Oryctolagus cuniculus: one gene and its partners. The main gene of each other region encodes a partner of the protein of the gene in region 3 in a complex. Links are inferred from orthologs where the notes say so. Each region holds a gene or a part of one and is shown on either strand. Other genes may lie near its edges.

Region 1 (7,538 bases), on a different chromosome or scaffold from region 3:
ACAGCGAACATCATCCACAAAGGCCAAACACCTCTGACTAGAACGAGTGGTATGCGCCTAAAATGGAAAAATTAGATAAACTCTTCAAAGAACATACAACCAATTATGATGAAAAGAATTATAAAGTACATCTTCACAGGGTAGAAAATTCAACATCTAATAAATGAATACACCAATATTACACATAAGAAAAAATGCAGAGGGTGGGCATTTGACATAGCAATTAAGACACCTTTTGCGTTTCCCACACCCCACACTGCAGTGCCCAGGTTTGTATCCCCCACTCTGCTTCCAATTCCAGCTTTCTGCTAATCTGCACCCTGGGAGGTAGCAGGTGATGGCTTAAGTGTTTAGGTCCCCCAAGCCCACATGGGAGATTCAGAAAGAGGTTTGGGCTCTTGGCTTCGGCCTTACCCAGCCCAGGCTGTTCAAACCATTTGGAGAGTGAACACCAGCAGATGGGAGATATCTGTCTTGCAAATAAAATCAAAAATAAAATTTTTTTAAAAAATAACAAATTCAAGAATGATCACGGGCCAGCGCCGCAGCTCACTAGGCTAATCCTCTGCCTGCGATGCCAGCATCCCAGGTTCTAGTCCCAGTTGGGGCGCCGGATTCTGTCCCGGTTGCTCCTCTTCCAGTCTAGCTCTCTGCTGTGGCCTGGGAAGGCAGTGGAGGATGGCCCAAGTGCTTGGGCCCTGCACCCGCATGGGAGACCAGGAGGAAGCACCTGGCTCCTGGTTTCAGATTGGTGCAGCACACCAGCTGTAGCGGCCATTTGGGGCTGAACCAACAGAAGGAAGACCTTTCTCTCTGTCTCTCTCTGTCTATAACTCTCTCTCTCTCTCACTGTGTAACTCTGCCTGGCAAAAAGAAAAAAAAAATGATCATGGGCCCAGCACTGTAGCACATCTACCCGCTGTAGCACAGTGGGTAAAACTGCCCCATTCAGTGCCAGCATCCCATATGAGCACCAGTTTGAGTCCCAGCTGCTCCACTTCCAATTCAGCTCCCTGCTAATGCACCTGGGAAAGCAGAAGATGGCTCAAGTCCTTGGGCCCCTGCACCCACATGGGAGACCTGGAAGAAGCTCCTGGCTCTTGACTTTGGACTGGCTCAGCTCCGGCCATTGCAGCTATTTGGGGAGTGAACGAATGGATGGAAGACCTGTCTTCTCTTTCTCTAACTCTGGTTTTCAAATAAGTAAATAAATCTTAAAAAAAAAAAAAATCACTTCTTATAAACCTAACTTCCTTACATTCAACTGCTTCTGTTCTATTTTCCCACTCTTTATAACAAGATTGTCAAGCAAGTTAGGCTTAACCTATGCTTACTTCTGAACTGAAGATTAGAGATCTATCCCAAATAATAAATCTGCAGATAAGTTAAGCTATTATGTGATCACAGGAGTAGTCAGAAGGGGACTAAGATTGGAACCCATGTCTCCTGACATCTTGGTTAGGTGCCTTCATTACAATCTAAGTCTAGTGAGTGAGATTACAGAGCCAGGATTGGATATAGTATTTTGACAACACTCCAAACTTCATAAATAAAGGGGCTATATATATACCTTAAAGCAGGAATATGGAATACTTGGCCGCTAAATAGCACCCACTAAATCATTTGGTCTGGCCTTGTCAAGGCAACTATATGTGGGACTCAAAATTGAGTAAACCTACAGCAGACTTAATTTTTAACTGGATAATTTTGGATGGCCCACAAATGACGTTATAAATACCAAAATGGCCCTTGACAGAAAAAAAGGTTCCCCCACCCCTACGTAAAATCACCTGTTGAGCGGCCCCATCTGTGGCTAGCATTCTGCGTTCCTTCAGCTGCCTGTGTAGTAACGCTTCGACTCCATAGCGCTGGCGATACCGCCGCAGACATTTTAATCGTTTCAAATTCTCACGTTCTTTGGCCAAAAGTCCCTCTGGGCCAGTCAGGAGACTACCACCTGGGAAGTCCCAAGAGTCAAGATGTTATTTGCCAAGCAATCCACAAAGGATATGTCTGCTAATCAACAAGAAAAGAGGAAAATCTTGGGACCAGTGCTGTGGCACTGCTATCTGCAGTCCATATGGGCACCAGCATGAGTGCCAGCTGTTCCACTTCTGATCCAGCTCGCTGCTGATGTGCCTGGGAAAGTAGCAGAGGATGAAGCAAGTGCTTGGGCCCCTGCACCCATGTGGGAGACCAGGAAGAAGCTCCTGGCTCCTGGTTTTGGCTTGACCCAGCCCTGGTCATTGCAGCCATCTGGGGAGTCAAACAGCAGACAAAAGATCTTTCTCCCTCTCTCTGTAATCTTTCAAACAATAAATAAATCTCTTTAAAAAAAAAAAAAGAGAGAGAGAGAGAAAGAGAGAGAGAGAGAGAGAGAGAGAGAGAGAAATGGCTATAAGATAAGCAATCCCAAAAGCAAATTCTCCCCCACTGCAGGTACTAAGACAGAAATAAATCTAATTACTACCAAATCCAAATGCTGAATCCACAACATCTGTGGTACTGGCATAAGACTTGCCTAGGGCTTCATGTTCCACTTTGCGGTTATGTAAGTACCGGCGCTTCTTCTCCTTCAGCAGATGCTGAAGTCGTTTAAACTGGTCGATGTACAAAGACTGCAAACGAATCAGCTTCTCGCGCATAATCAGGGCCACTTCTTCAGCTGTGTAGACACCAGCATGTCTGGAATAAAACAGAGATTCCAGCAAAGCATAAGAAAACATTGTAATAAAAACCTAAGCTTAGGAGCCAGCATTATAGCACATCAGGTTAAGCTGCTGCTTGTAACCCCAGCATTCTGTATCAGAGTACCAAGTCAAATCCCAACTGCTCAGCTCCCAACCCAGCACCTTACTATTGTGCATGGGGGCTGAGAATGGCCCAAATATTTGGCCCTGCCACTCACATGGGAGTTCATGCCTCCTGGTGTTCATCTGGCCCAGCCCTGGTTGTTACAGCCATTTGGGGGAGTGAACCAGTGGATAGAAGATCTCCTACCCACTTCTCTTTCAAAAAATAAATAAATAAATAAATCTTTAGAAATAATCAAAAAAGTGAAGGCGTGAATCCATGGTTGCAGTGCTTTAACCATTTAAAATAGAATAATCTCTAACAAGTCAGGACATCTTAAAGTGTAGACTGAACGTCTACATACGCATCAGTATACTTTAATTAAAGTATAAAAGATACCAATAACAAATGATTGGAACTTCTGATTTTTCAGAAAGCCTATCAGACAGGGCCGGCGCTGTAGCATAATAGGTTAAACCTCTGCCCGCAGCACCATCAATCCATATGGGTGCCAGTTCGAGTCCCAGCTGCTCCACTTCCAATCCAGCTCTCTGCTGTGGCCTGGGAAAGCAGAAGATGGCCCAAGTGCTTAGGCCCCTGCAGCCTCATGGGAGACACAGAAGAAGCTCCTGGCTCCGGACTGACTCAGCTCCAGCCATCACAGCCATTTGGGGAGTGAACCAGCAGATGGAAGACCTTTCTCCCTGTCTCTCCCGGCCTCTCCCTCTCTCTGTAGCTCTACCTCTCAAATAAATAAAATCTTTAAAAAAAAAAAAAAAAAGCATATAAGATACTTGAGCTATCACAGACCCCTAACCAACAATCAAAATGGCCTACAAACTACTCAGCAGTTTCTTGACAGTATCCCAAGTCAATCCTTAATAGCCAAATCCACAAAGGTCCATATCAACTTTAAACTTTGCTGCCAATTATAAACAGAACTTCAAAGCATGCCAGTAACTGATGCATTGAAAACTATGTCCTATTTCTGATTTTTAAACCTCAAAATTAAAAGATTAACTTCAAATTTTAAAGGTCTTAGGTTAACCAAGTCTTATCAGGCCATTACACTAACAGAAAACTTAAGTTCAATATACACCATACCTTAATACTAAGTTTCATATTTTCAGAGAAAACATTTCCTTTATTCAAAATTTGGTAATACAAAAAAATCACATACCTAATTAATTTTAAGTTAAAAAATTATGTTCTCTTAAAAAATAGCTGTTAAGTCACCAGAATACACAAAGCAAAATTAACTTTAGGACTGAAATCAAGTTTCTGCCAAAATAATTTTTATAAACGGGAGGGGGCCGGTGTTGTGGTACAGCAAATTAAGACTACTTACAATGCTGGCACTCCATACTGGAGTGCCAGTTCAAGTTTGAGTCCCAGCTGCTCTGCTTCCAATCTAGCTCCCTGCCAATGCACCGGGGAGAGCAGTGGAAGACAACCCAAGTACTTGGGCCTCTTCTACCCAACATGGGAGATGAGAACTAGATGGAGATCCAGGTTCCTGGCTTTAGCCTGGGCCAGCCCCAGCCATTTCAGCCATTTGGGGAGTGAACCAGTGGATGTAAAACCTGTTTGTTCCTCTAACTGTGCCTTTCATATAAACAAAATCTGTACAAAAGGGGGCAGGGGGGGCGGCACAGTGGCATAGCAGGTAAAGCCGCCGTCTGTAGCGCCGTCATCTCACATGGGCACCGGTTTGAGTCCCGGCTGCTCCACCTCTGATCCAGCTCTCTGCTATGGCCTGGGAAAGCAGTGGAAGATGGTCCAAGTCCTTGGGCCCCTGCACCTGCGTGGGAGACCCAGAAGAAGCTCCCGGCCTCAGATCGGTGCAGCTCCAGCCGTTGTGGCCATCTGGGGAGTGAACCAGCAGATGCCAAGACCTCTTTTTCTCTCTCTGCCTCTGCCTCTCTGTAACTCTGCCTTTCAAATAAATAAATCTTTTTTAAAATGTCCAAGGAAGAAAGGAATCAAGAACACATAAAGAAAATAAAAAGTACTTCATTAAATGAACACACTACTAATAAGCTAATAATGTCAACATATTAATTTATAACATTTAACAACTCGATGTACATCCCAAAATTGCATGTATTTAGTGGATCAAATTCTTTTTGGACAACCTCACTAGGAAAATTAAGCAGAGTCTATATAATTTAGTTGCCTAACAGTTAAGAATATTTGGAGCTTTATTTTCCCTTTTGAGTGTCTTTCTTCTTTGAGACTGCTATCAATTACCTTAGTCCTTTTGGCATTTTTACTTCTCATAAAATTGACTGATATTCTGGATTATACAGCAGTCTCTTGTGAATTAATGTATAAGAATGTGTCCCCTAGAGACTAAACCACTCTCCTGACAAAATCAAATTTCTGGACCTTCAAAGCTTAGTTTATTTACTGCATCAAAGGTCAGGCATTTTCTGACTGCACAGAGCACACACATCTGTAAAGCAAGTCTGGCCGCCCAGAATAACAACGGGGGCAAAAACATGTTCTATCTAATTACTACTGTGAAAGAATCCTGCTAGGAAACATTCTCTTTCAAACAACTTAGATGGACTTTCTAAACTAGTACTTCCTGAATAGCTGACTACCCTAAGATTACTCAACAGAAATGAAAGAAATCATTCTACTCAGAAAATGTCACCAGGGGCAACACTGTGACGCAGCAAGTTAAGCCACCACTTAAAATGCCATCATCCCGTATCACAGTGCCAGGATAAGTTCTAGCTACTTCCCATCCAGCTCCCTGCTAATGGCCTGGGAGGGCAGCAGAAGATGGCCCAAGTGCTTGGGCCTTGGCCACTCACATGGGAGACCCAGATGGAGTTTCTGAGCTCCTGACTGTTGCAGTCATCTCTCTCTTGACCTGCCTGCCAAATAAATACATATTTTTTAAACAGGAAAGAAAATGGGGCTGCTGCTGCAGTATAGCAGGTTAAGCCTCTGCCTGCAATGCCAGCATTCAATCTGGGTGCTGGTTCAAGACCCAGCTGCTTCACTTTCCATCCAGCTCCCTGCTAATGCACTTGGGAAAGCAGCAGAAGATGGCCCCAGTGCTTGGGTTCCTGCACCCACATGCAAGACCCAGAAGAAGCTCCTGGCTTCCGTCTAGCCCAGCCCCTGTCGTTGAGGCCATTTAGGGAATGAATCAGCAGATGGAAAATTGTGCTTCTCTCTCTTTCTCTCCCTCTCTGCCTTTCAAATAATATCTTAAAAAAAAAAAAAAAAAAAGAAAAAGAAAAAATGTAAGCTGGGTCAGGGGTTTGGCACAGCGGTTAAGACGGCCACATCCCATATTAGAGTGCCTGGGTTCAATTCCTGGCTTCACTGTGTCCAGCTTCCCCTGAGAGGCAGCAGGTGACAGCTTAAGTATTACTTGGGTCCCTGCCATCCTCCTGGGACTCCCAGATCAAGTTCCTGGCTCCCAGCTTCAGTCTGGCCCAGCCTCAGCTGTTGCAAACATTTGGGGATTAAGCCAGGCAGGGAGATCTCAGTCTCTTTGTCTTCCAAATAAAATTTTTTAAAAATCCATAAACACAGAGTTTTACAAAATAAGTAGTTATTACTCCAGTAGAATCACCTCATTATTCCTGAGGTTTAGGCCAAAAATCTGTTCACACCCATCTTCTCTTCTCTAATCCACACTAAGAATTTCTCAACCCACCACCCACTCTCATGAAATTTCCTCTTTTCTCCCCTCTTTTCTTATGTACAGAATCTAGTGTTCAAATTTTTTTCTAAATTACAAGACTTCTAAAAATGAATTTCATCCTGCCTTGAAGCAAGATGGTGATGAACCACGATATGCGAAGCTATCACTGCTCACAACAGCCATCTTGCCCCCCTCCTAAGGTTATTAATGAATTAACAGCATGCAGCACTACATTCCACATACTAACTAGATAAAACATTCAAAAGCTTTTGTGGAGTTACAACTTACTTTAGGGGATCTTCTTGATCACTGTCTATGCTATCAGCTTCACTGTCAGGGTCACCTCTCCATGTCTGATCCACAGTAATGGGTTCCTGCTCCCCATCACTCCAGCTGTCTTCATCTGAGGCAAGGGAGGGAGAGCAGCCATAAGACTTCCCACCTCTGTAACTCCACCACACAAAACTAGGTTACTTAACATATCAACTCAATACACAGGCACTGGCAAATAAAAACACAAGTATAGAGTGCTGATAAGATTATTTACAACTCAAGAGGTCCAAAAAAGTCAACTTAAAAAATTATTATTCTTTCCTGAAATAACCTAGCAAAGTGCTGAGCATAAAAACAGCAATGAAGGAAGAGTCACCAGCTCAGGAAAACAAACCAAAAGCAACACTATTTCAGATTTGAAAGAGTTGGTGAACATAGCAATCCTGGAATTCTCACCAGATTCCCAATAAATTAACAATACTGCCAGCACATTCAAGGCACTACCTTCCCTTTTCCACTACAGGGAAAGGCCCTTACCCAGGATGCGGCTGGCTTCACTGCGGCTACTTTCTGGAGTCTGGGAGCCCAGCTCCGACTTGGCATATGAGCTCAGCTGGCACAGGAGTGTTTCACCCACAGGCCCTGGGTTGGTCTTCTTCATCTGAGCATGAAGCGCCAGGGCATTCCTGCGGGCATGTTCCGCACAGAAGGACACCCTAAGGAGACAAAATACCAGTATTTCACCATAGTCCTTGATCCTCAAAGCATTTTTAAGCAATTCAAAGGACTATTTTATTCACTTCAA
Region 2 (7,538 bases), on a different chromosome or scaffold from region 3:
CTTGGGGGAGGCCAGACAGAAGCTTACATGCAGGAGACAAGAAGTTGGCCCTTACTGCCCCGTAATAGTTGGTACAGCTCAATAGTTCCCAATTTCTTCACTTAGCATCAAATGGCGCATCAAGCTGCACCCTCGATACTTGACACAGCAGTCAATGGAGAAAGTACCATGAATCAGAATTGGCTTGCATACTGTTGATATGGAACAGCCTTGTCAGGAGGGGTCTTTCTTACCCACCCAGTGGGAACTCCTAGGGACAGCTGAGGGCCAAATACCATCAGGCTATCAGGGACCAGAACTGAGCACACACCCAGAAAAACAGGGTAGTAACCAAAGACCATCAACATCCTCTATAAAATAAACTTTATTAAAAAACTCCACTTAAAATTTATGTCTTCACATTATGAAACAATTTTCAAATTGTTATCCACAGAGCTTCGGAGGGACAACAAAAATGCATACTCAGGTTTCAGGCCAAATGTTAAGGCTACAGAGCCCATCCATACACAGTTTTGCACTGCTAGGCTGGCTCAGCATGATGCTGTCCTAGGACTAAGCCTTTCCTCCCATCTCTGATGAATCGACAGGACTACACTGCACGCTGTTTAGGAGGAGTCCCCCTGACAAAAGTCATGTGCATCACATTCGTGTCACTGCCGTACAGCCAGAGAAAAAGAAATGAGTCACCAAAAATGCTCCAAGTCAGCCACTATCACTCACACTCTGCCTCTCAGACCTCAGGGGAACCTGCCTGCCACCTACATTCCTGACCTGAAACATGAAGATTATCCACACCGAACTTCTGAAACCTCTGTTTTACTTGTTAGACATTTTGGGCTTCTGTGACAGAGTCTGTTGGGAAAGGGCTTCTGATGCTGAGAAAGTTTGGAAACCACTGAACCAAGGTATTCTGAAAACCAGAAAGGTCAGGTGATCAAGGAGACCTTCCATGCACCCTTGAGTCCCAGAGGTTAATATGTAGGCTCCTAAAAAAAGAAAGACACTCCCTAAACCCAAAAAGTGTGAGAGAAAGACAGAGACAGACAGACAGAGAGAGAATGTGTGTGTGTGTGTGTGTGTGTGTGTGTGTGTGTCTCAGAGAGAGAGAAAGAGAGCGTGTGCGCGTGTGTGTGTGTGTGTGTGTGTGAGTGAGACTGTCCATGTGTGGGCTCCTGTGCCTGCACACTGGTAAGGAAAGGTGAGTCTGCTAGCTTAGACAGTGCTGTTATATTTCAAAAACAATTTTTTGTCTCATTTCTCAATTATAAATGTAAATCCCCATAACTAGGGACAGAACATCTGACTGGGTATCCTGGGTTCAAATAACCTGATAATTCATTTAATGGTTCTATATTTAATGGTTCTCCAACCATGAGCAAAATGCATCTTCATAATTTAGTTTATCCAATTTTTCCCAAAGACTTGCAACAGCCTGGCTAGAGGTAAAATGGTATTTTTGAAAATATTCCAGAAATGTTAAACCATTATTTAGTGTCACTACAATGAACACAAAGAACATTACTGGGGCCGGCACTGTGGCATAGAAGGCCAGGCCTCCACCTGCAATGCTGGCATCCCATAGTGGTACCAGTTCCAGTCCTGGCTGCTTTACTTCCAATCTAACTCCCTGCTGGTGCGCCTGGGAGAGCAGCAGCAGATGGCCCAAGTCCTTGAGCCCCTGATCCATGAGGGAGACCAGAAAGAAACTCCTAGCTCCTGGCTTCGGCCTGGCCCAGCCCCAGCCATTCCAGCTCTTTGAGCAGTGAACTAGTGGGTGGAAGATCTCTCTCATGCTCTTTCTGCCCTTCAAATATAAATAAGTCAATCTTAAAAAAAGAGAGAGAGAGAGAGAACATTACTAAGCTACATGCATGCCAAGGAACACCACCGGACCATAAAAAGAAGTCAACTATTGATGCATACGCCATGGATCAATCTCAAGAAAATTACACTGAAAAGATACATTCCACATAACTCCATCCATCAACAGTCGTACAATTACATAATAAGAGAGATGTAAAACAGGTTAGTAGTTTCCAGGGCTTAGAGGTAAGGGAAAAAAGGACCGAATGGCTGGCTAACGAGGGGTAACATGAAGGAGTTTTGTGCTGACAGAGCAGCTGAGTATCTTGACTGTGGTAATGACTACAAAAGGCTACACAGCCACTTGCACATGCAAATGTGCACAGTACATGTATTTAACTGGCGAACTCTGAATAAGCTCTGTTAATTGTGCCGATGTCAATTTCCTGGTTTTGGCACTGGGCTGTGGTTTGTGTGTGCTGTTGGCACAGGAGGGCGTGTGGAGGAGGAGTGCATGGGTTTCCTGTATGTTTCTTCCCAACATCCTATGAATCTAATTATTTCAAAGTAAAAATTTTTAAAAAGCACTAGGAAAATAAAAAGTGAAAAAGCAAGTGTACCTAGTCACTCTCTGATTTCTCCAAAGATTTGAAGAACAAAGGTAAAGCCCCCAAAGCAGAGGGGATTGCTGAATACAAAAGACAAATGGAAAGATAAAGAGGCAAAAATGCAAGTGTGCATTAGATCAAGACCCATAGGTGAACCTCCAAAATTGATGTCCACAGCACTGCAGGACAAGGAAATAACATTCTAACACAGAAAGCAAGCCAAGGGCTGAGGTGTTTTTCTCATAATCTTAACAGACTGGGTCAAGGGGGTAGCCATTCCAACCCCTACTTCCATGCACACAGTAACAGAGGCAGGCCCCAGGCAGCATTGTTATACAACACAAGGCTGCCCACACTTCCAAACTCTATCATCCACCAACAGATCAGACGACTAACCCAGGGGGAAGCATTTGGCCCAGGACCAACCTCTTCCCACTCTGGTCTAAGGCTATTATCTAACCTACACCTTACCCAGGAATTCAGGATTGGGGTTGAGATCACAACCTCACTTGACGTAAGTTGTCCCATAAACACAAAAATGTAAAACTGGTGAGAGGGGAAGGGGTCATGAATGATCATTTTACAAGAAAATAAGCCAAGTAGCAAAAAGAAAAAGAATGAAATCAGCTGTGGGGAGAAGCAGGAGACAAAGTGGACTGACCGCAAGACAGAATTCCAGGTTCCTGAGCCTGGCAGCTTTCTCCGGGTTCCAAGTCCCAGGCTATTTTCCCAGCAATACTTATATTCACCCCAAAAGAATCCTAACTAATTGAACCATGACTTACTTAAAAAAAAAAAAAAAAAAAAAAAAAAAAAAAAAAAAAAAAAAAAACACTCAGATTCCCTGGCCAGCCAGGGAACTGTCAGGAATTCCTGGGGTATTTACAACAGCCCTTGGAGGCAACCAGATGAAGAACAGCTGCAATGAACAGGAAAAGAGGGGCCAGAGGCCAGCAGGTGCTAGCCAGGGAGGGTCTCACCAAGCAGGTAGGGCAAACTCACTCCAAAGGCTCCTCCCAGATTTAGAGATGACAGACACGCATGTCAGGAAAACATAGAGCAAGAAACTATGTTAAAAAACCAGCCTCCATTTCCACAGGCTGTACAGAGGCTTGGGCCACTCCCAAAGGTGAGTGCCTGCTGCTCCCCTCCTCACGGTGTGAAGAGAGGCAAGGTCCTTCCCACTGCAGGTCCCACCCGGCTCACACAGAGCCCAAGGTTAGGTTCAAGGATTCCCCAGGTCCTCTTTCACTCTATTATGGGCTATTTAAGGGCAGCCTGGGATCCCGAGGAGCCGAAAGGAGAAACAAAGCGCAGTCTGCTGCTGTTCATACTCTCCCTGGGGCTTCTGAGGTGACTCGTCACTGCTGCGGGGCTGAACTCCCCCTAGGGACCTGTTCCTGGGAGCGCTACCTACCTGAATCATGAAGTCATTCTCTTCCTGGACTTCACAGATGCAGCGGACCACTTCAAAATCATAGTGGTCATCCCCATCAAGCTCCTCGTCCGGGTTGGTGGTCACATCGACATCCTGGCCGTACTCCTCATCACTCCAAAGAAAGCTCTCAGAAGACGACTCACTCAGATTATCCTCCTCTGGGAGGAAAAGGAAAACAACAGGCATTACTGTACATTACAGTTGCACCATTTAAAGTAAAGCTCCATGAGCTTTCACGGGCTGGGAAATGGGGACCTTTGTTCCTTAGGCCTGTCCTCTCGTAACAGCCCCCCCCCCCCCCCCCTCCAAAAGCATGCTGCGTGGTGGCACCACACTGCGCTCTGTATCCTCATCACACTGAGAGAACGGAGCCCGCGCTAGTAGCCGTTCATTGTCAGAGGACGCACGACTCCCACCCCACCCTGTCAGGCCCTGGCTCCCAGTTGGCCTTCGTCAAGAGATACTGGTAAAGTTCTGCACACAGTGGGGAAGGAGACAGGGGAAGACTGCAGAAAGAATCAGAACCAGTACAATGCCCGAACAGTTAACGTCACACCTGCTGCGGCAGACAGTGGTCTAAGCCAAGGATCCGCAACACAATCAGAGCCTCCTTACCAGATGCTTTCACTTTCCCTTTGTGGTTTCCAGACTCTGAGCTGTGAAGCTGAGGGCTCATGTGGACGCCAGGCTTGTGTGAGGACCCGCACCTGGTGACAGCAAACGCCTTGGGTGGAGAAGGATCCTGGGAGGTGTCACTGATCTCCTCACTGCAGGGGCATTCTGGAAGCACAGCGTCAGGAAGGAATGAGCAACTGCAGATATCACCAGGGCAACACAGAGTCGATCTCTCCCAACCAACAGGGCCTGTTCCAGGGATTTAGATTTGCAGCTACCCTTGAGCATCTCAATCCCAACTGCTTCCTTTTCACTATTACCCCGTGTCCCCTTTTTGTAAGCCAGAAAACACACACTGAGAACAAAATATGGCATCCCTTTAACTCTCAAGGGTGGAAGAGATTTTCTTGCACATCTCTTTGGGGGCTAGACACACACTTTTCAAGGAGCAAATCCTTTCTAGAAAGGGTTCAGATGGGTGTAGACGGATGTTTAAGAGCTATGAATGAAGTGCAGTCACTCATCTGCACATCCTCTAGTACTTGGATGTCTTTGTGTTGACAGCACCGCACCAGAGCATGCTGGCCAGCACAGAAAGTGGGAGGCTTCCATAAATGCCAGGCGGCACCTCCTCGCAGGGCCCACGCAAGTCCTGGGACAGGCCTGCTGGTCCTGCTTCTCCCCAGAGCAGCCTCAGAGGCCACCACAGGAGACAGCACCCGCCCCCATGGTGAGGAAGCCCCCAGGCAAAACCCTCAAGGGAAGAGTTACCAGGTTTGACTTTCTTTTTCTTTTTCTTCTTCTTCTTTGGCTTCACTCTCACAAACTCTTTGAACTTCTTCTCTTTATTCTTTTCCTTGTCTTTTGCAGCTAGAATTAAACATGAGTTTAAGTGCTGACATTTTAATGTTTTGTCTTTAATGCTGGATGAAACACATCCAACGGGAAGAACTGGCACAGGCAGGGTAGCTGGTTCTTGGCCTGGCTCTGCCTGAGAAGTCGCCTTCCTTCCCCTGGAGGGCTCCTGAGATGGCTGCCTGGGGCAGAGCCATTCCTCCATCACTTAGCCTTTTTTTTATTCACTTTATTTTTTATATTATCTGAAAGGCAGAAACAGTCAGATGGAGAACTATTCATTGGTTCACTTCTCAAATATCTACAACAGCACAGGCTGGGCCAGGCCTCTGCACCAATGTGGGAGACCCAGAAGAAGCTCCTGGCTTTGCACTGGCTCAGTTCCGGTCATTGAGGCTGTCTGGGGAACAAACCAGTGGATGGAAGACCTTCTCTCTGTCTCTCCCTCTGTCTGAACTCTACCCCTCAAATACATAAATAAAATCTTAACAAACAAAAACAAAACAAAACCACCTGAATGTCAGGGCCCCCTCTCAGAGATGTTGACTTAATTGGCTTGGGATGTGGCACAGACCTCAAAATTTTTTCATTTTTTTAATTGAGGCATAATTCATAGAACATAAAATTAATCATTTTCATGTGAACAGTTCACATCTTCCAAATACGACATCAATTTCTCTACTCCTTAGAGCAAAACTCTTTAAGTTATCAATATTCCCTGTCCAAAGTTCTCCCTTTGACTTTTCCTAATTCCATTCTACAAAGCTCTCACCTATTACTCTGAGACAAGTGTTCAAATTTAGTAGATTCCCTATTAACAAATCTAGCTGTTTCTCCTCCATGTCATCAAACACAACTGTGGCATTTCAAGTAATTCATCACATGTCACTTATTAGATTTCAACAAGAGTTTGAGCATACGAATATCCTATGACCTAGCCATTCCACTTGGAGAGATCTACCCAGGAGAGAGCTTAACATATATCTACATAGGGACTGACATAGCAGCTTCACGTGTCATTACTCCAAACTGAAAATTGCCCAAATGTGCATTAACTGGGGAAGAATATACCCATCAATAGATACAGGAACATAAGGGAATCTCTTAAGTCGGCTGAGTGAAAGCAGCCAGACAAAACTAGTGCATTCTACATGATTCTATCTATAAAATGTCCTAGAAAATGACAACTAATCTCAGGAACAGAAAGCAGGGGTGGGTGCTGTGACACAACAGGTTAACCTGCTGTTTGGGACTTTGGCAACTCATATCACAGTGCTGGTTCACATCCCAGCTACTCTGCTTCCCATCCAACTAGCTGCCAATGCACCTGCGAAGCCAGCAGGTGATGACCCAGGGACCCCCAGATGCAGTTCCTAGCTCTTGGCTTTGGCCTGGCCCAACCCTAGCAGCTGTAGGCATCTGGGGGCTGAACCACGGGATGAAGCGCCATCGCGTGCACACTCTCCTCTTTCAGCCACTCTGCCTTTCCAATAAATAAATAGATTTTGTAAAAACAGGGATAAAAAAAAAAAGCAGGGGTCAACATTGTGGCATAGCAGGTAAAGCTACCACCTATGAAGCTGGCATCCCACTTGGGCACTGGTTTGAGTCCTGGGTGATCCACTTCTAATTTAGAGCCTGGGAAAAGCAGCTGAGGTAACATAGTTGTGTGGACCTCAACTGCGTGGTCCAATACATTCAGTGGTCAGTAGCCACACACAGATGCTGAGAACCTGAAATGTGGCCAGCCTGACCAGAGATGTTCATTAAGGATTTAAAAGATTCAGTAGAAAGGGTGTAAAACAGGCTGGCGCCGCAGCTCAATAGGCTAACCCTCTGCCTGCAGCACCGGCACACCGGGTTCTAGTCCCAGTTGGGGCGCTGGTTCTGTCCCGGTTGCCCCTCTTCCAGGCCAGCTCTCTGCTGTGGCCCAGGAGTGTAGTGGAGGATGGCCCAAGTGCTTGGACCCTGCACCCACATGGGAGACCAAGAGGAAGCACCTGGCTCCTGGCTTCGGATCAGCGCAGCGCGCCGGCCATAGTAGCCACTTGAGGGGTGAACCAATGGAAGGAAGACCTTTCTCTCTCTCTCTCTCTCTCTATCTAACTCTGCCGGTCAAAATAAATAAATAAATAAATAAATAAATAAATAAATAAAGGTGTAAAACAACACACTGGCAGTTTTCATACTGACTGCATGCTGAGACAGTACCATAGCCC
Region 3 (7,538 bases):
AGACCACCGAAGGGGCTGGGCCGGCTGTGACTCCACCTTCAGAAGCACTGGACCTGAAGACAAAGAAAGGAGCTCCCTCATCCAAAGGCCAGGGGGCCACAGATCCTAGCAACACAGGGAAGGTCCACAGTGGGGCCTGACAAAGCTTTAACTAGATCCAAGCTTTGTCCCACCTCCTGAACCCAGCCTCTAGTCGTCCTCAAAGTCAGGCCTAGAGTAAAGACTTTAGGACGAGAGCCAAGAGAACTCAGAGCTGATCCAAAAGAAAGACAAAAACCACAAAAAGAAAGAAGGTACATTTCCACAAATGACACAATCCAGGAGCTATCATCTTTCCACAGTACCATATAATACAGAGGAGTGAAGCTAAGAAGGGAACAGAGACAGCAACCGAGAAACAAACTCACCTGGTTGTGGTGAGGAGTCCGGTGAGCTCCTTGGTCCCTGCTGAAGACTGCCCCAGTGTCATGGTGATGGGTTTCCCTCCTGAAGCTGCAAAGCAGAAAGCCCTGAGACACTACTCAGACCTATTTGGCCCCTACATTTCCAGGTTCCACAGCCCAGGCTAAATACAAGATATTGTGGACAAAGACTTGAAGATGAAAAAAGAGTAACTTTGTTAGAGGAAGAATTAGGGTAACTTCTCCTATTTTCTAACTTTTTTGGAATATTTTATCTCTATTCAAAACAAATATACATATTTACATGCCATGCTCAGAACGACCCCTCGGCACCCTCGGTCCCTGGAAGTCAATGCCCCCTTGCCATTAATGTGCCATTTTTGCTCCAGGTCTCTCTCACACTGAAGCAGAGGCTGAGCTGCCTGCTCCAAGAAGAGCCACCAGGAAGCAACACTTTGTGTCCTGGGAGAGCCAGGTCCACTCGGGTTTAAACAGGCTCGAGAAACTCACCTTCAGCACCTCCTCCTTGGGAAGGAGTGTCCCCTTGGGAAATAAGGGACACCTTGATCTTTGGTCGCTTGGAGGCCTTACTGCCAGGCAGAGGACTGGAGGGGTGGTGTCGCTTCAGCTGGACTCGGAGATCTTCTTTTTCTGCCTCCTCTGTTGGTTCTGATGAAATAGGAACTAAGAGATGGAGCTCAGGTGAGATTCTGCACAGTCCAAGAAAGCCTGGTGGACACTGTTTGTCAAGGTCAGTACGGGAACACACAGGAAGATCAACCCACCCTTAGGCCACATTTCACAAGAGACGACCCGCGTTTCAGTCCACTTCAATGAGGTCTGCCTGAGCTGAAGCCCACCTTGCCCTTCTCAAAGAATGGCCCCATCCCCATCTCTCACTCTGCCTTTGAAGAAAGGAAGGGAAGAGGCCCAGAGTTGGTAGGAACAAGACAGAAGACATCTGTCTAGCAAAAGCCACAGCAAGAATAAAAATGGAGGACTCACTAAAGTATATCTACACAGTGTGATCACTCTCCTGTCCCAAGCCATCCCCCATGTCATCACTCAGCCAGGAGACAATAAACATTCCATGAAGAACCCACAGAGGAGCACCCAGTCCTTTCTAACAGGGAGTTTTCACAAGACTGTGAGGAGTCCCATTCTGTCCTTAGAGCCCGGGCTGAGGGGTGCTTGCCAAAGGGGGCAAGGAGGACAACCTCCAGGACTTCAGGCTGGGGGAGGGAGGCTCAAAGCCCTGGCAGCCTCACAGCTCCTAAAGGTGGTCCTGGGTCATCTGTACAAGTACAGAGAAAGGCTATCTGTTCACACATCATAATGCCCACAGCCCAGCTTCTTGGACTTGCAAGTTATCCTTCAGGAGTCCTCACAAATGTCCTTGGCTTTCAACCCAGAAGTCGCCCAGCCCTTTTTCGCACAGGCAGCCAGGGGTGGAGGTGGGGAGAAAGGCAGCCACACAAGCATGAGGGGGATCCAGGCATGGGGCCATGACCAGGGCACAGGCAGCTACTGTGGAATGGCACTGTGGAGAGGACAAATGTACTCGCTGAATCAGAGCAGAAAGGAACGGGGAGGGCGAAGGAGCCGCAGGTTTCTTCTGCTGAGTGGTTAGTGTGCCTGCAGCTGGCAGGGTGGAAGCATGGAAACAAGCAGGGAGCGAGCACACAGGGAAACTCAGGCTCTCAGGCAATGGGCCACAGGCACACAAAGGTGAAGGAGCTACAGTGAAGGCAAACAAGGAAAACACACAGAAGCAAACAGAGAGAATGGAGATACAAGACAAAGCATCTGTAGACGGGGAAAAGCTCAGAGAAGCAAACAGGAGGAAATCAAACAGATGAGAGAGGCAGATGAGAAGCAGAGACAGGACAGAATCAAGAGGGGTGGGAATAAAGCAGAGAGCAGACGGCGGAAAGGTGAGAGAGAGAGTAATACTCACCAAAGAGACAGGAGGAGGTGCCAGGAGGAAGAGCTTTCCTCACCAGCATATTTTGTTTCAGAAAAGCAGCAAACTGTGCTGGAATGAATCAGAAAGAATTACAGAATCACAGCCGGCCAGAAAAAGGAGAAAGAGAGACAGAATAAGAAAAAGATGAAAAAGTTCCAGAAACTGGTCGCAGGGGCTCTTTCTGTCCCTGCCCGGGTCTGAAACCTGACTCGCTGAGTAGCTCCAAGGAACCATCCATAAACGGAGGTAGCAACATGTGGCTGCTGTCCAGACTCGACAAGCCATGGCAAGCAAGTCCCAAGAAGAGGGCACAGTGAGTTAAGGGCTCCAGTAAGTTAGCTGCTACTAGCCCTTGCTTGCTGCTTTTCACTGGGACGCTGGGGTCCTGCTTCCAATCCAGCTCATCAGTCAGCCTTTCAGAACTCCTTAGATTCCTGACTGATCCTCCCCCAAGATACACAGCAGGCTCTACCTTTACCAAAAGTCTAAGGGGACACTGCCCACTAAACACTCAAGAAAATCCAGTTCACGGAGCATCCATACAGATGTAGGGCACTGGTCTCCTGTTAGCCTTCATTTGTCTACTTACACTTCTGTTCTTTGTTAGCACCACTGTAATGAGCAGCCTCACAAGAGACCTGGGTTTCAGTTGAACTTGAACTCTAAAAGCAGAAGCTGGCAGATCCGCCTCCTACACCACCTCCATATCTGTTCTACAGCCAGCTCCACCTACTTCCTCCTCCCAGGCACTCCTAAGAACTCCAGCAATACATGTTCTTGAATGTACCATCAGAAACTGATGCCCAGGGCAGGTGCTGTGGCATAGTGGGTAAAGCTGCCACTTGCAGGGCCGGCATTGCATATGGGTGCTGATTCGAGTCCAGGCTGCTCCACTTTCAATCTAGCTCCCTGTTAATGCACCTGGGAAAGCAGCAGAAGATGGCCCAAGTCTTTGGGTCCCTGCACCCTCATGGGAAACCAAGAAGCTCCTGGCTTCGGATAGGCCCAGCTCTGGCTGTTGTGGCCATCTGGGGAGTAAACCAGTGGATGGAGGACCAACCTCTCTCTGTCTCTGGCTCTCTGTAACTCTGCCTTTCAAATAAATAAAAAATAAATATTAAAAAAAAAATGATGTTCAAGAGGCCTTGCCGGAAGGCCATTCAACTGGATGAAAGAAGGGGCAGGCAGAAGTCACTGTTTCTTCATTTTCTTACCTACTGAATTCTACCTTTATTTAGTATGTGCAGCTCTTCAAATGAATTCCAACTATACAGATATTATTGCCCCCTCTAAAACCTATCTGCAGAGAACCACTATAAACTTTGCTGACAGTCCCAGCCCAGGAACCTACTTTCTTTTTTTTTTTTTTTGACAGGCAGAGTTAGACAGTGGGAGAGAGAGACAGAGAGAAAGGTCTTCCTTGCGTTGGTTCACCCCACAAATGGCCACCACGGCCGGTGCACCGATCCAAAGCCAAGAGCCAGGTGCTTCCTCCTGGTCTCCCATGCGGGTGCAGGGCCCAAGCACTTGGGCCATCCTCCACTGCACTCCCGGGCCATAGCAGAGAGCTGGACTGGAAGAGGAGCAACTGGGACATAATCTGGCACCCCAACTGGGACTAGAACCCACGGTGCTGGCGCCGCAGGCAGAGGATTAGCCAAGTGAGCCGCGGCACCAGCCGGGAATCTACTTTCTAAGAGCAAGACAAAGAAAGGGCATGACACCAGTTGAGTTGCCTTGGAATTTGATGGATAAAATCAATCATCCTGTTTCGGAGAGCTCCCTGACTGCAAGAGTGATTGGGAGAAAAAAAGAACATCCCCAATTAGTAGTCAGGCCAATATCCATGTAGGCAGCTCACAAAGCTCAACTTCTCCAGAACAACAAGACAGAAAAGCTATGAACTAGCAAGCACAAAGCACTACTAATGCATTAATTCAACCTAACTTTGTCTGGACAGAAACATGGGGGAAAAGTACTTCTTATCCCCCTGAAAAAGCTGCAGATGCCAATGTATTCCAACTGCTACGTGGCATCAACTGCAGAAGACTGAACCCAAGAGCACCACTGAACCAGGAGCCTTTACCTTGGGCTTGTTTGTGGGTCAGCACAGCTTCTGTCCGCTGGACGTGTCTCTTGAGCAGCTGAGAGCTGCCAATCTGACTGGACTTCTGGACAGAGGTGACTGTGGCCACTTTGGTCTTGGGACTGGAGGTGGGGCTGCTGGACACACTGGAGAGATCCTAAGTAGAGAAAAAAGGTCAAGATACAAGCAGATAGTCATTTGGAGTCACACATCAGTCAGCACGTTCCCCTGGAACTCCCCCGACAGGGACGCACAGGCCTACAGCACTGACACGGTAGACAGGCATCTGCAGAAACTAAGGAACCAAGTCCGCAGCTCAGATTCCCCAGCCAAAGTACTCCCTCCCAGCCTCCTCCCTTGCCCACACTACCTCTGAGCCCGAGGGTGAAGCGGGCAGCTTGGCGGCAGGGGAAGCAGGTCGACTGCCCCGCTCGGAGACTTCAAAGGCCAGGTCTCGACGTGTGGCATCACGAGGCTTCTTCTTCTTCTCAGCGTCCTGATCCCGAGGCTCAGAGCCCACGTGCCCCTCAGCGCGAGTGAGCACTCCAGTCAGGAAGTCCACAATTTCATCCTAGTGTAAACCCAGCCTATTACACCTCGTCTGGAGTACAGGAGCCTCCCTGTTTATTTCAAACTAAAATCAACTCCATTTTGGCTTCGGCACCCAGATGTGCTAGTCCTCACTCACGTGAAGCCAGGCCTGTGCTGGCTTTGGGGCAGCCATGGCACTGGGAGGCACTGGGGCACGGTGCACTCTACCACTCCTCCAACACTCCCTTTCTCCCCAGCGCCTCACTCACACCTCAGCTCACCACTCTTCTCCTTCTCTTCTTTCTGCTTTGCGTAGGATTTCTACCTACCAGAGGGCCCAGTTACCCCTCAGCAAAGCTGCTGCCAACAAGGCTAAATCTAAAACACAAGCCTAGCGGAGAAAAGGTGTTTACCTGAATACATCTGTCCACCATGCTCTGAGTCAAACCTTCTGATTTCTTCTTTGCTTTGCTTATTCTAAGAGACAAAAAGGAGTAAACGGGTTCTGTTTTAAACGATCCATGGTAATCCATGGGATTAAGAATGGACTTCCTTTTTGGGTTGGTTATTTCCTAGGCCCAGGAAGAAATGCTAAGGGGGCCCTCAGGCTAAGCTCTGGATCTGTTTGCACATTTGCAAAATGGGGACGGATTAGTCTCTTCATGGCATGATGAACGACCAGTAACAAATATGAAAATCAAGCATGGCACCCTCAACTATCCACCCCAGAAGGCCCATACCTATGGCTTCACTGACAAACAGTACCTGTATCACTGAGGTCCCCAACACAGCCCCCAAACCCCCCGAATACTGCGAATTGCTGAACTGGATTAACAGAGAGGAGGAAAGGTGGCCACAAACTAAAGGGGTAAGAGAAAACGATCCCGGCCGCTGCATTCCCCCTTCGCCAGCTAGTCATAAAATCCCTAGCTTCCCATGAGGGCAGGAAGTTGCTGAGCCTCCTAACTCACATCTGATTTGATTGGCTGTTGGCCTCTGATCTTGTTAACAACTTCATTTTTTTTTTTTTTTTTTTAATTTGACAGGTAGAGCTATAGACAGTGAGAGAGAGAGAGAGAGAGAGAGGTCTTCCTTCTGTTGGCTAACTCCCCAAATGGCTGCCACAGCCGGTACTGTGCCAATCCGAAGCCAGGAGCCAGGTGCTTCTTCCTGGTCTCCCATGCGGGTGCGGGGACCAAAGCACCTAGGCCATCCTCCACTGCCCTCCTAGGCCACAGCAGAGAGCTGGACTGGAAGAGGGGCAGCCGGGACTAGAACCTGGCGCCCATATGGGATGCTGGCACCACAGGCAGAGGATTAACCAAGTGAGCATGGGGCCAGCCCCAACAACCTCATTTTACAGATGAGCACCGTGAGTGGCAGAAGCCAAGCTTCTAAATAAGAGGTCAAGAATAACGAGGCCTCTCAGTCCTCAGCTGTGTTCCCATCACACTGACTCCCTCACAGCAACTCAACACAGTCTACTAAGGGACAGTGTTACATTTTACCTGGGTTCTCACCGCATGGATTACGGTTCCACAGTAGGAACACTATTAAATAGTTTTCAATGGTGTCACATTCCACAGTTAGATAAGAAGGCTTAAATGGCCATGAAAAACAAGGTATTTAAATGAAAACATTTCCTTGAGCTTCAAAAGCCTTGATACTAAATTCTTAAGAAGCTGGCAAATGACAAAAGCTGAACGACTTCTCCAAAACATCCCTAAAAAGACTGACACCTGGGAGCCTGGACTTGCTTTAAGCTCTGTAGTTAGAACATAAACCTAAAACTAATCTAACTGAGTGATAAAAAAGGAGGCTGGAGGTGCCAACCCCAAAGACAGCCCATATTATAGTGCCAGTTCAAGTCTTAGCTACTCTGCTTCCTATCCAGCTCCCTGCTAATGTGCCTGGGAAGGCAGCAGAAGATGGCCCAAGTACTTGGGCCCCTGCCACTCACATGAGAATCCTGGATAAAGTTCCTGGCTCCTGGCTTTGGTCTGGCCTAGACTTGGCTGTTATGGCCATTTGGGGAGTGAATCAGTGTATTTAAGACCTCTCTGTCACTCTGCTTTTCAAAGAAAATAAATAAATGTATTAAATCTTTAAAAACAGAAAGTAAAAAAAGGAAGCCAGAGAAGATTGGTACAGCAGTTTAGCCTGTTTGGGACACTGCACCCCAAATCCTGGCTCCACTTCCGATTCCAGCTTCCTGTTAATGTATACCCTGGGAGGTAGCAGGTAATGGCTCAAGTACTTGGGTTCCTGCCATCCATACAGCAAACCTATGCTGAGTTCTTGGTTCCTGGTTTCTGCCTGGCCCAGTCCCAGATGTTGCAGGCATTTGGGAAATGAGCCAGTAAATGGAGGATTTCTGTCTTTCTGTGCCTTTCATATAAATAAATGAAATCCTTAAAAACTATATATATATATATATAATTTTTTTTAAAGGAGGCCAAATAAATGATCTCTATTTTAGTACATTTTATGAAAATCCAACAACTAGGGGCTGGCACTGTGGGTGCCAGTTCAAGAAACTCCTGGTTCCTGCCTC

The links. The genes of interacting proteins can lie anywhere in the genome.
Region 1: KANSL3 (region 3) and KANSL2 share a complex: the UniProt entries of both Homo sapiens proteins name them as parts of the NSL complex. The link is inferred for Oryctolagus cuniculus from reciprocal best matches to the Homo sapiens genes KANSL3 and KANSL2.
Region 2: KANSL3 (region 3) and PHF20 share a complex: the UniProt entries of both Homo sapiens proteins name them as parts of the NSL complex. The link is inferred for Oryctolagus cuniculus from reciprocal best matches to the Homo sapiens genes KANSL3 and PHF20.

The regions. Positions count from the first base shown.
Region 1 is NC_091442.1:52,170,496-52,178,033, forward strand, and holds part of KANSL2 (KAT8 regulatory NSL complex subunit 2), read right to left. Parts: intron 7,450-7,538; coding exon 7,271-7,449; intron 6,864-7,270; coding exon 6,749-6,863; intron 2,686-6,748; coding exon 2,522-2,685; intron 1,958-2,521; coding exon 1,791-1,957; intron 58-1,790; coding exon 1-57. UniProt on the Homo sapiens protein: Non-catalytic component of the NSL histone acetyltransferase complex, a multiprotein complex that mediates histone H4 acetylation at 'Lys-5'- and 'Lys-8' (H4K5ac and H4K8ac) at transcription start sites and promotes transcription initiation.
Region 2 is NC_091442.1:22,323,918-22,331,455, forward strand, and holds part of PHF20 (PHD finger protein 20), read right to left. Parts: intron 5,335-7,538; coding exon 5,236-5,334; intron 4,630-5,235; coding exon 4,465-4,629; intron 4,008-4,464; coding exon 3,829-4,007; intron 1-3,828. UniProt on the Homo sapiens protein: Methyllysine-binding protein, component of the MOF histone acetyltransferase protein complex.
Region 3 is NC_091433.1:111,110,390-111,117,927, reverse strand, and holds part of KANSL3 (KAT8 regulatory NSL complex subunit 3), read right to left. Parts: intron 5,462-7,538; coding exon 5,398-5,461; intron 5,025-5,397; coding exon 4,824-5,024; intron 4,611-4,823; coding exon 4,454-4,610; intron 2,437-4,453; coding exon 2,359-2,436; intron 1,086-2,358; coding exon 912-1,085; intron 493-911; coding exon 408-492; intron 54-407; coding exon 1-53. UniProt on the Homo sapiens protein: Non-catalytic component of the NSL histone acetyltransferase complex, a multiprotein complex that mediates histone H4 acetylation at 'Lys-5'- and 'Lys-8' (H4K5ac and H4K8ac) at transcription start sites and promotes transcription initiation.